Linked DNA regions of Arabidopsis thaliana. The protein of the gene in region 1 interacts with the protein of each later gene in a pairwise test. Each region holds a gene or a part of one and is shown on either strand. Other genes may lie near its edges. The genes, in order: CB5-E, BTI3 and SIP2;1.

What was found.
Region 2: the proteins of CB5-E (region 1) and BTI3 interact in a two-hybrid assay, tested with the Arabidopsis thaliana proteins (one large-scale study listed by BioGRID).
Region 3: the proteins of CB5-E (region 1) and SIP2;1 interact in a two-hybrid assay, tested with the Arabidopsis thaliana proteins (one large-scale study listed by BioGRID).

What each region holds. Positions count from the first base shown.
Region 1 is NC_003076.8:21,757,418-21,761,081, reverse strand, and holds CB5-E (cytochrome B5), read right to left. Parts: upstream 1,754-3,664; 5' UTR 1,618-1,753; intron 1,466-1,617; 5' UTR 1,455-1,465; coding exon 1,368-1,454; intron 1,135-1,367; coding exon 1,068-1,134; intron 980-1,067; coding exon 729-979; 3' UTR 504-728; downstream 1-503. Other genes in the region: AT5G53570 (Ypt/Rab-GAP domain of gyp1p superfamily protein), read left to right, coding at 1-158; YSL3 (YELLOW STRIPE like 3), read right to left, coding at 2,306-3,243, 3,322-3,439, 3,528-3,664. UniProt on the Arabidopsis thaliana protein: Membrane bound hemoprotein which function as an electron carrier for several membrane bound oxygenases, including fatty acid desaturases.
Region 2 is NC_003076.8:16,634,369-16,638,498, reverse strand, and holds BTI3 (VIRB2-interacting protein 3), read right to left. Parts: upstream 2,471-4,130; 5' UTR 2,270-2,470; coding exon 2,068-2,269; intron 1,851-2,067; coding exon 1,670-1,850; intron 1,591-1,669; coding exon 1,449-1,590; intron 1,365-1,448; coding exon 1,295-1,364; intron 1,206-1,294; coding exon 1,027-1,205; 3' UTR 591-1,026; downstream 1-590. UniProt on the Arabidopsis thaliana protein: Plays a role in the Agrobacterium-mediated plant transformation via its interaction with VirB2, the major component of the T-pilus.
Region 3 is NC_003074.8:21,077,797-21,081,535, reverse strand, and holds SIP2;1 (small and basic intrinsic protein 2;1), read left to right. Parts: upstream 1-1,679; 5' UTR 1,680-1,891; coding exon 1,892-2,179; exon of another isoform or gene 2,180-2,361; intron 2,362-2,436; coding exon 2,437-2,697; intron 2,698-2,785; coding exon 2,786-2,946; coding exon of another isoform or gene 2,947-2,950; exon of another isoform or gene 2,951-3,052; coding exon 3,053-3,125; 3' UTR 3,126-3,239; downstream 3,240-3,739. Other genes in the region: PIP5K4 (phosphatidyl inositol monophosphate 5 kinase 4), read right to left, coding at 1-579; CRD1 (dicarboxylate diiron protein, putative (Crd1)), read right to left, coding at 3,267-3,530, 3,610-3,708. UniProt on the Arabidopsis thaliana protein: Water channel required to facilitate the transport of water across cell membrane. Inactive in yeast cells.

The DNA.
Region 1 (3,664 bases):
TGATCATACAGAAATACAGTAGTATGGATGAGATTGTGGAAGAGTGTAATAGCATGGCTGGTCAGCTTAATGTCTGGAAGCTTCTTGATGATGCCCATCATCTTGTCGTGACGCTTCACGACAAGATTGAAACTCTTTCTCAATCACAGAGTATTTGATGAAGAAGTCGATCAAAGCCAGAAATGAAGTGTTTCCACTACACAAAAGCCCTTGCACTCGTCTGGCTGCGTTTTCTCAAGGTTTAAAGTTTGTTGCGGTTTGGTTCTTACCGTTTTCACTCCTCTCTTTCTTTCTTCTTTCTTTTTGTTTACTCATCACACAGAGAAAACACAATACTACTATCCTTATCGCTTTTATTGTAGTACTAATGAAAAAGACAAGGCAATATTCTTGTTAAAATGTAACGGATGAGTCTGAAACTGTCATTTCCACAATTGTATGAAACATATTTGTTCAATTGTAGAAATCCAGTTTCTCACTTCTTTATCAAGCAGCTTAAGTTTGGGCAAATCAAGCAGTCTTTTATTATATCATCAAAGTCGAAAACACTGTCATCATAAACTCAACACAGTAAAACTAGTAGCAACACAATGATTTTTGGTTCGTAATTTCAACAAGAATCAGTCTAAGACCAAACAACAGTAACAGTACTTTTTTTCGCAAGAGAGATAGACAGAGATCGGTAGAGATATTCAATGACAAGCATCAAAGCAAGCCTTTGGCTTCTTCTAGTCTTTCTTGGTATAGTGACGGACGACAAGAGCCAATCCCAAGATCAAGATCGGAACAAGGAACTGAAGAATCTTGATAATGAATTCTGGTGTCTTGTCTTGGTTGTAGGCTGGTTGCTGTGGTGCAACGTATGTCCTAGTTGCTGGAACACTAGACGAATCAATCTCACCAATGAAATATTTGTCCATCATGTCCCTTGCAGTGTCGCTGTGACCAACGTCTTCAAAATCATTTGTAGCATCTTTCCCTGCAAACAAAACACCACATCAGAACAGAAACAGTCACCGAGCCGCTTCAAATCCGCCTTGAATCAGAGAGAAACACAAGTTTTATACCTGTTGAGGACAACAAGACTTCATCGCCTCCAGGATGATCATCCATGAATGGAGTCACATCATACACCTAAAGAACGCAACAATCACAGATCATAACCAAGTAGTAGACACAAACTCTGTTTCTCTAGTGTGAATTAACATAGAATCAACTAAATCTACGAGGGGCTCGATTAAAGCTTCTAACAGTAACAATCCAACTCTACAACTTTAAAATCGAAGCTTTGACACAAATCAATGGCGGAAGAGAACTAAGTTCGTCAAAAAACAGAGATGTTCTCAAACAAAGAGACAAGATCTAACCTTGCCGGAAATAATAAGCCAACAATCCTTAGTTTTGTTGTGCTTTGAAACTTCTTCAAAACTTAGAACCTTCCGATCTGAAGACATCTTCACTCAAACTGCAAAACAAGAACACATCAAAGCTACTAATCAAAATTTCTGATAATACAGAGTACTAGATACAGATTCAAATCGAAATCATCAGAACGATGATGAATGAACGAATATACTAATTCCCTTATCGATTTTTGGAAAAAGATGGGATCTTTACCCTTTCAGATTCAGAATTTTCGATAGCTCCGAAGCTCAGAAATCAGCAGAAGACGGAAGAAATAGAGGTTCCTCACCTACTTAATTGTGTTCAATATAAACAAAATACGAAACTACCCTCGATATTTTGCTTAGGGTTTGGATGAGCAGGGGTAGTTTTGGTCAAGTTGGGCTTTGACTTTAAACAAATCAAATTGGGCTTTGTGCAAATCAAATTAAAATTTGGTTTCCATTTTTGACGAGATTTTATTTTGGTCCACGTTTGGTACTTTGAAAAATACAAATATGACGTGTGCTGAATTGACAAAAAAAAAAACAGACACATAAAGTGTGATCTAACAACGTTTAGCAGATTTCAAAGAAAGAAATAAATCTTAAAATAGAAGAATCTTGCCTTTTGTCAGTAAAAACATATACCAATTTAACCGTATTTTTATCACTATTTTGGCAAATATCTTCTGGAATTTAATTCCATTTGACCTTATTCTAAAATATTGAGTTTCTTTTTGGGGAGAAGTTACTTGGGACATGGATTTTTAAATAGAATTGAGAGACTAGTTTATTACTTTATTGTGTATACAAACTTACAAAGTACAATTCCTATATAAACTGTTTTTTTTGTTTCCACAATTCTTTAGCTAATTTTTTTGTCGCTACACAAAAAAGTAAAAACTCGTAAAAAGCTATCTTTAACTCGAATATTTACTCGGCATGAAGCCCATACATATAGGAGGTCTAACGCCGGCCAAAGCAAGAACCGACGACGGCAAAATCCATAGACCATCTCCACATATCAAACCGGAAGCAACCGCCGGTACCATTAAACCGGCTTTAACTCGATCTCTCATATTCCAAGCAAACACAATCAAACTTCCCACACACATATCAATAGCAAAGTACCCTCCAACAAGAAACGGAACCGCCATTGCCATCGGTAATGGAACCCAATTCCCTATCTTATCCGGTAACCTATCCCTAACGAGATTTGCCGCCACCGCGAATGCGAAAAACCCGTAACAAAGCTGTAAACAATGTTGAGGCAAAGCAGAGAAACCTTCAACTCCAAGAATTGCCATGTTTCTGTATACCAAAGCGTAAGGAGCTTTGTACTCTCCCTCCTGGTTCCCGACATCGAAAGCTTTATAAAACAAGAAGAAAGTTAGAGGCGCCACAACGCATCCGATCGCTGTACCGATCGCTTGACTCACAAGCATCGACCTAGGTGAAGTCAGAGTCAAATGTCCTGTCTTGAAATCGTGCATTAGGTCAGAAGAAATCGATACAATCGATTTTATCAACCCGCATCCGACAAGTCCCGCGACTACACCATTTTGTTTCCCTGCCATAGCGGCTAAGATAAACAGAGCGACTTTACCATAGTTATAAGCCATGTTCATATCTGTTAGCCCTGCTCCATAAGCGTTACTGAAACCTAACGATGGAGCTAACATGTAAGCTACGACTATGAAGTACCATTTCAGCTCGGGGAACATTATAGGGATCGCGATGATCGAGACAACAGAGAACGCTGCGTATCCTACTGCTGCAACCCATAATGGAATGCTGTCTCTTACAAAGATCTCATCTCTTTTAAGATCTGCAATAGATTGCTTATCTTTCTCCGAATCTGCGATTTACGTTTGAACATCAGATAATACATTATTGAAATGACGATTTTTCTATAGTTTTTTTGGTGTATACTTACTAGATTTCCCAGAGTTGCGATTGTTTAACTTGACGTACATGTTTATTCCTGTCTTAAAAAGTATCTTGATGAATTGGTAAAGCCCGTCTCCGAGGATCAATGAGATTGATATAAACACCTAAAGAGTTATGAACAAATTAAGAACGAAAGTACGCGAAAGAAAGGGCGGAGTTTATTGTAGAGTACTAGTGTTTTTTGTATGGAACCTTGTAACCATTGAGACTCTTCATGCTGTTTTCAGGAAGAGTTGATGGGAACCAATCTCCTTTAAGACCTTTAATGAGTGGCCACATGATTCCCCAAGACAGAACCGCGCCAAAAAGCAAAGATATATTGACAATAT
Region 2 (4,130 bases), 5.1 Mb from region 1:
CATAGTTAGTGAAAAGTTGGTTAATGAATACGGTTTAATCAAAATGACTGTACTTGGCTTTCACTGTTTCATCTTTTCTTTCTTTTTTGTCGTCACTGTTCATCTTTAAGTTTTTTTGCTTTTGAAAGTAAATGGTTAAATGATGACAAAAAAAAAAATAATGGTTGTTGTAAAAAAAGTTATCTACTTTAATCGGAAAAATAATAAATTTAAAAATCCAGTCATTGAACATAAAACTAAAAACAGAAATGTCAGAAGTGGGGTTTGAACCCACGCCCTCTTACGAGGACCAGAACTTGAGTCTGGCGCCTTAGACCACTCGGCCATCCTGACTTTTGATATTGTTTTCTACTACAAACTATATATAGTGATTAACACCTAGTTGTCTACCTTACGTATGTTGCTTACTTTAAGTAATTATCCAGATTTGATGGTTATCATACCGAAAGCGTTTGGTATTGTGGAATCCACTTTTTGTGTGATTATTTTTGTCGAGAAATCGTGAAATCGCAATTTTGGCAAAAGAATTATGAACAAATTTTTTTGGAAAATTATCAAATTGCGTTTAACCTAGTTCATATACCAATCATTTTAGCTTTTCCTATGAACAAGATGTTGAGATGATGAAAGAGATGGAATGGGAAGAATATTATTAGTCAAATAAAAACAAGAAAGATTCTTATGAACTAAAGTTAGATCGCAGTAGCAGTGAAGAGCGAAAAACCCACGAAACAATTTGAGTTTATGTGTATGGACCAATCCTCAGACATGATGCAAAATTGACATGACGAATACCATCATGGAGAGCTGTTAAAAGGATGAGAAATTAACTAAGACAAATAACTAACAACAATAATTATCATCCATCCGTGTTCTCTCATAATCTAAATATTTTTAGTTAAAACCCCCAAATTTATAATGAACATAATAATAACAAGAGATCAAAGGGTTTATCAACCAACAGCTTCTAACAAAACATGTCTTGAACCATTACTACGATTCCAATGAGAGAGTAACTCACATTCCTTAATCCTTCTTCTTGTTCAGAGCTCCTCTTGGAATCTTGCTTATGACCTTACGCAATACCTTCTCATCAAGTACTGCATATTGCTTTTTGATCTCCCTCATCGCCTTCTCCCCATAGGCATCTACTTTGTCCTCATACTTCTCGTAGAGTACAGGAATGGTGAAGAGAAGGACAGTAGCTGGAAGCAAGAAAGAAAAGCTGGTTATCAAGATATGCAAGTATGATTCCTATCAGATTAAATGCAGTAAGATGTAAATGAATCGTTACCAGTGTAGAACAATGTCAAGAAGTTGTAGCAGCTGCCAATAATGGACAAAACCCACAAGCCAGCAATTACCTAAAACATGTGCAAGCAAGTATTAGCATTTATGAGGAACATAAGAAAACCGCTTTGCATCGAGGTAGATAACATGAACAATACCAGGATAAATTTCTTGACATCTTTTCCTGATGCAATGTTCCTAAGAAGGGTCAAACCACGATTGATTTCAATCCTTAATCCAGAAACAAGTTGAAGAATAGGATCTTCAGGGATGTGAACTTCCGGGATGTGAGGAGTTGACCTGAGGATAAGAACTCAGTTGATCAGGCAGTTATCTCATACTTAACACTTAACATATAAGGGATGTTGTAAGAACATACTTGTGGATGAATGTACAAGCATTAGACCACAAGAACAATGCTGCAAGAGCAAAAATCGCAAAGTGACAGAGAAAAGCGAGGAGATGGTATTCGAATAACTCGAATAAGACCCAAGACGCAGTTACAGCACCCAAGACTCCACCAGATACCTTCTTGTTCCTCCAAAGGAATATATCAGCAGCTACATGCAAACAATGAATCCAGATTCAACATAGTTTCTGAGTATTTCACAAGATTTAAGCGTACTTTCGAGCAAAGCAGACAATTAAGCACTCAAATACACTCAATTTTAGCTTCAAATTAGAGCAACATTCACTAGATCGAGCAAAATCACTATGTAAGATACAAAATCGAGTAAAATCAGAGTTCAAAGTGAAGAAATAGAGATAGATCCATACGTTTTCCACCACCGAGAACCTTGTGAACAGGTTTCTCCCTTCCGAAAAGTCGGTAAATCTTTGACTTGAAGGACGACGACGAAGACGATGTAGATTTCTTATCGTCGTCGGAATCGGACAGAGAAGACGAGTCACCGTGGCCATGGATCTTCTCAACAATCTTCTCCAAGATCGATTCCTCGTGCTTGTGGTCTTCCACCATTTTTGTTGATTCTACAAACCTCCGAGAAGAAGAAAAAAAAACCTAAAACTCTTTACTGATTGAAGAGTGTGGGAGGAGACTGTGACGAATAAAAGCGTGTGCTTCAGATTTAATCCCACCCCTTGATTTAAAACATTTAATCCAGTCCGTTTGATTCGGGTCTGGGCCTCGAGTAGGTAACCGTCCACGGTGGAAAATCAAACTATTTATTTTGTAGCAGATGTAACATATTTGGCGTGGAACTAACGGTCGTTAATTAATGTGAATATTCCCGATAACGTCTCCGTTAGTGGAACGTTAGATGTCGGCGGATAGGATCCAGCATTGGGCCCATTTATGGGATTGTTGGTACAGTATTAAGGCCCATTTATTACTGATCCATTTCATAGTAAAAATAAAAAATTGTTAGGCATAGTAAAATTGTTATGAGAATATGTTGATAGAATGAAAATGCTCCTAGATGAAAGATGATCATACACCTGTTGATTAAACATTACAAGGTCACAGATTATATATATTGACATCTCAAAAATTAACCAAGACGCTGCGTTTTGGAGATATTGGATTTCGAAGACCCGGAAGATAAGAGGAGAATAGTCAGTGACTCTCACGCACGTGGGGTTTGAATTGATGACTCTGGTCTCTTGGCCTCGAGATCTAACTTCTTCCGTGGGATCCAATTTTGAGCTGAGTCATGACACGTGTTACAACACGTGTGCTCCACTGTGTCGACATCACTCTTGAAGGTAAGATTTTTTGGAGTAATGGCAAACCCAGAGATCAACAAAATCAGGTTTGACAATGAAAGCTCACTTATTTATTTATGTACTTTTCCAATAATTTGATTAGTCCAAATATATTATTCTATTTGGATATTCATTCATATACATAATTACATACACATGCAGTGTTAGAAGTGAGTTTAATATGGAAGATTCGTCGTCTAGTGTGACATGAAATTCCACCATTTCATATAATTAGATTTTCTTCTTATATATATAATTTTATGCATCTAATCGTGTGGATGAGAATTGTCCTTCACCTAACCAACCTTTTCGAAGAAAAAGAGAGATTTGTTTCTTAATATATCTTCAGAAAGAGAGAGAGATTCGATGACAAAAAGGATAAGAGATTCTTGGAGACCTCAAAAATCTACTATCGTGGGTCTAAGAAGATTACGTGGCTCGTTTTAAGACCCTTGCATAATCTTAAAGTTCTTACCTATTTTTTTTTTTTTGTCGTAAAGTTCTTACCTAATACAGTAATATATTTTTATATTGTATAAAATATTATACATTAATTAATCAAAAAAAAATTCCAATTCAATCCTGAAACAGTGAAACCCATGCGTGCCAAAGCCAAAAATCTGACTACCTTGCTAAGTGCTAATCATTACCCAATCAGAGTTCATATCAGGAATATACCATATCCATAAGAGCTATATACTAATTACTTGCAAAAGTTTGCACCAAACCTTACTACGTACAAAAGAAAAGATCGTAGATGGTCAAAATTGTGGCTTACTATAATGGCTTATTATATAGTTATTTTTAGATAGCTAAATTTCTTGTATATACAATTTTGAGTTTTACGTATAGAAAAAAATATCATATTTGAGTTTGGTAAAAAGGATGAGTAAATAATTTGGAGATTTCAACCTTCATGTTAAGTTTTCATTTTCGATTAATTTTATCTAATTTTTTATTTTAATTTCTTTGATAACCAAACAATGTAATTTAGACTAATCCTTTTGGACTTATAAAACAAAAACAATTTACTATATATGCAAGCTGTAATAGGGTGATTTGAGTTCTAGTCCACTAAATGTAAATGTTACGTACGTTAAATTTGTATTTGTAAT
Region 3 (3,739 bases), on another chromosome or scaffold:
CATGTAATAGCTCCCATCTCTCCACTGATACTTTCCTTGGGCTTCTTGCAAACCCCTCCTCCATTCACCATCATACACATCTCCATTCGCGAAACGCTTGATTCCATGTCCATGTTTCAGGTTCATCACCCACTGACCTTTATAAGTATCTCCACTAGGACCTGTGTAAAGGCCAACACCATCCATGTATCCACTTTTGAATTCGCCTTCATATGTGGCACCAGAAGGCCACCCGAACTTCCCTCTTCCCATAGTCTTCCCGTTGTACCAGTCACCAATGTACATGCAACCATCTGTCCAAAGATACTTCCCATGCCCGTGAGGAAAACTATCATACCATTGCCCTGTATAATAGTCTCCATTAGGAAGTATTCTCTCTGCATGGTACAATTCCCCTATGCTGCTTCTGTTAGTGCTGGTCTCATCATCATTCTCCTCAGTCGTAGTAGTAGCATCATCATCTGTCTGTGGAGCTACAGATACCGTCCCAAAAATGCTGTTTGCACGCTTCTTCGCTTGTTGGGTCTTTCTTACGGTCACCTCCCAAGCCTTTAGAACACAGCTTTGTTCCTTGCTCATCTTCTTAAACTAATAAAACTTTTCTCTAAGATACCTATATGTATATCCTAGAACATAAACTCAGAAAACATATTTGTTCTTGTCTAAACAACAATCCTATCAATGTACACATACACAAGAGAAAACCATGAACTCTGTGCAAAAGAAAAAACAAAGTGTAAACCTAAAACCATTAAATCAAACGCAGCATGAAGAAATCTGCAATGGTCTTTACTCTGTGACTTCCTGTCTCTATGCCATTGAATCACAAGAAAAAAGAATGTTTTTTGGTCTTTTAGAATGCAACATTTTCGGAGTGAAAGCTGATATGAACAATCATGGAAACCTAACAAAGAATCAGAGAGAGAGAAAAACCAATGGCCAAAAGAGTTAAGGGATCAAAAAAATTCTCTCCGACATTTCATCTTTTCTTGTCAATTCATCTTAACTAATTATGTCGTTCAAAGAAGAAACCGTTCATCTCCTCAAACCAATGAAAGCCTTCAAATTTAGAGAAACAAGCATGACCCATTTTTCTCTATTCTTAGCATCTCCGAGCTTTCCTCTCATAAACAAACATATTTTCTTCAGAACAAAAAAAATCGGAAAAAGTAATAATTAATCAATTTAGCCAAGACTGATAACGTCTCCAATCTGAGATCACTAAGAGCTATAATCAAAAACAGAGGTAACTGAAACTCTAACTCACTGAGGCATTCTGTCGAACACTTTAAACGCATTGCTTCTCCACTAACAAGTCACATTTTTCCGTATATTCACAACTTATTTTCAAAAGGAAAGATCCATTCCCAATGCTGAAGCTTCAAACACCATAAACGATAGAAGAGAGACAAAAGTTACAACCCAAAGCCAAGCGTGTAAAGATCAAAAGGTCATATTTTTCCTGAGGGGAAACTTCCGTCGCAGGTTAAAATTGGAGGGCTTTTTTGTAAACAATTCTTAAGAAGGCTAATTGTAGTAATTTATTTGTAATTATTAGTTAACTGTGTAAAGTAAATACTTTATCCAGTAATAACGTATCACTTTAGTTGATGTCTATTGGTTAATAGCCGAAGCTCGTTCCAAAATCGAAGAGAATCTATAATCTCATCACGACACACCAAAGCCAAAACCTTTATTGTCGGAAGCTGACTCAGACTCAAACAATGTCTCTAGCGTCAATTATATGCTAAATTCACCAGCCGCTTAGAGCCAATCATATAATCTCGATTCTCTTCAACGGTCCTCAATTATCCTAAATTCAGATCATAAAAACGCTAACTTTTAATTTCTTTCTTTCTGAGAAATTGGTTCTCATCGTTGGAATCGAAAAATGGGACGAATCGGTTTAGTAGTGACTGATCTGGTATTGTCGTTCATGTGGATATGGGCAGGAGTTCTGGTCAACATTTTAGTCCATGGAGTTCTTGGATTTAGCCGGACCGATCCTTCCGGTGAGATCGTTCGTTATCTCTTCTCTATCATCTCCATGTTCATCTTCGCCTACCTTCAACAAGCCACCAAAGGCGGGCTTTATAATCCTTTGACCGCTTTGGCTGCTGGAGTCTCCGGTGGCTTCAGCAGTTTCATCTTCTCCGTCTTCGTTCGAATCCCCGTCGAGGTTTGTTTCGTTGACTTTTTTTGGTTTAATTGAAATTGACTCTTCGTTAGAGAGAGGTCTCAGGGTTTGTGTAATGTTGTAAAATGTCAAATTAGAGAAAAAAAAGGAGAATTTAGCTGATGGGTTCTTCTTTGAAAACCAGATCATTTTGGTTATATGCTCTATTGTTTTATAAAGACTTCATCTTGAAGATCTTTTGCTCTAATGTGTAATCAAAGATGATACTATTGTGAAACTCTGGTTTTGTGTTATTTCAGGTAATAGGATCAATTCTTGCGGTTAAGCATATCATTCACGTATTCCCTGAGATTGGGAAAGGACCTAAACTAAATGTAGCAATTCACCACGGTGCTTTAACAGAAGGGATACTAACATTCTTCATTGTACTGCTCTCAATGGGACTAACAAGAAAAATCCCGGGAAGTTTCTTCATGAAGACTTGGATCGGTAGTCTTGCTAAGTTAACTCTTCATATTCTTGGCTCTGATCTTACCGGTGGATGCATGAACCCTGCAGCTGTATGTACCAAAAAAAAGTCTTGTGATTGTGATTTCAGCAAATAGCGATCTTTGTTTTGAATGTTTGCTTTTGTGTGAATCTTTGCAGGTTATGGGATGGGCTTATGCACGCGGTGAACATATAACGAAAGAGCATTTACTTGTGTATTGGCTTGGACCTGTGAAGGCTACGTTGCTTGCAGTTTGGTTCTTCAAAGTTGTGTTTAAGCCTCTCACCGAAGAACAAGAGAAACCTAAGGCCAAATCTGAGTGAGGAATGAGGAATGAGCTCAGCTTTCATATTTAATCCTCTCTGGATAAATCTCCTTTACACAAGACACAGAGGGTAGGATTGTTTCCAGGGATATTTTCGTAGATTTTGTAATGTGTTTTTTTTTTATGTTGCAAACTCAACTGTATCAACCAGTTCAATAAAATCTGAAATTTAAGTAAGTCCAATGCGCAATATGATCAAATATATGCAGTAAAAGTTTATTGCAAAAAAAAAAAGACGATGTTTCTCAGTTTCGATCATTCAATTACAAGAAATCAAGAACCAGCCGTAAACTCAAGACTTGACATTGCAGCTACTAATAGACAAGATTAGGCTCAAACTCGGCGAAATCAACAGAGCCAGACTCAACAGGAGGCATGAGATAAGCAGCCAAGATCTCAGAGGCTAAAGAAGTAACCAAAGGAATCCTCTTGAGGGTCTTGATGAAGGAAGCATCATCTGTTTCTCCTATAGCCAGCAGCTTCTCATAGCTCACAACCATTCTATCCAGTTTCCTCTTGAACTCAGGGTTCTCAACATCCAGCACCGCAGGGAATATTCTTGCCGTGGTTCGGTTTGTCTGAAACAAATCTCAACATTTTCAGAAAAAGGAACATAACACAGGTTAATATTAATCTTCTTGTTTCAAGTTCCTTTACCTCGATGATGACATGCATATCGAACTCCTTTGTGTTTAACCCGATACCCTCGTAGAAATTAGTTCTTTGGCAGTCATTGAGGTACATTGTCACATAAACCTGTAAAGCCAATCCTCTTACTGGTTAGGCC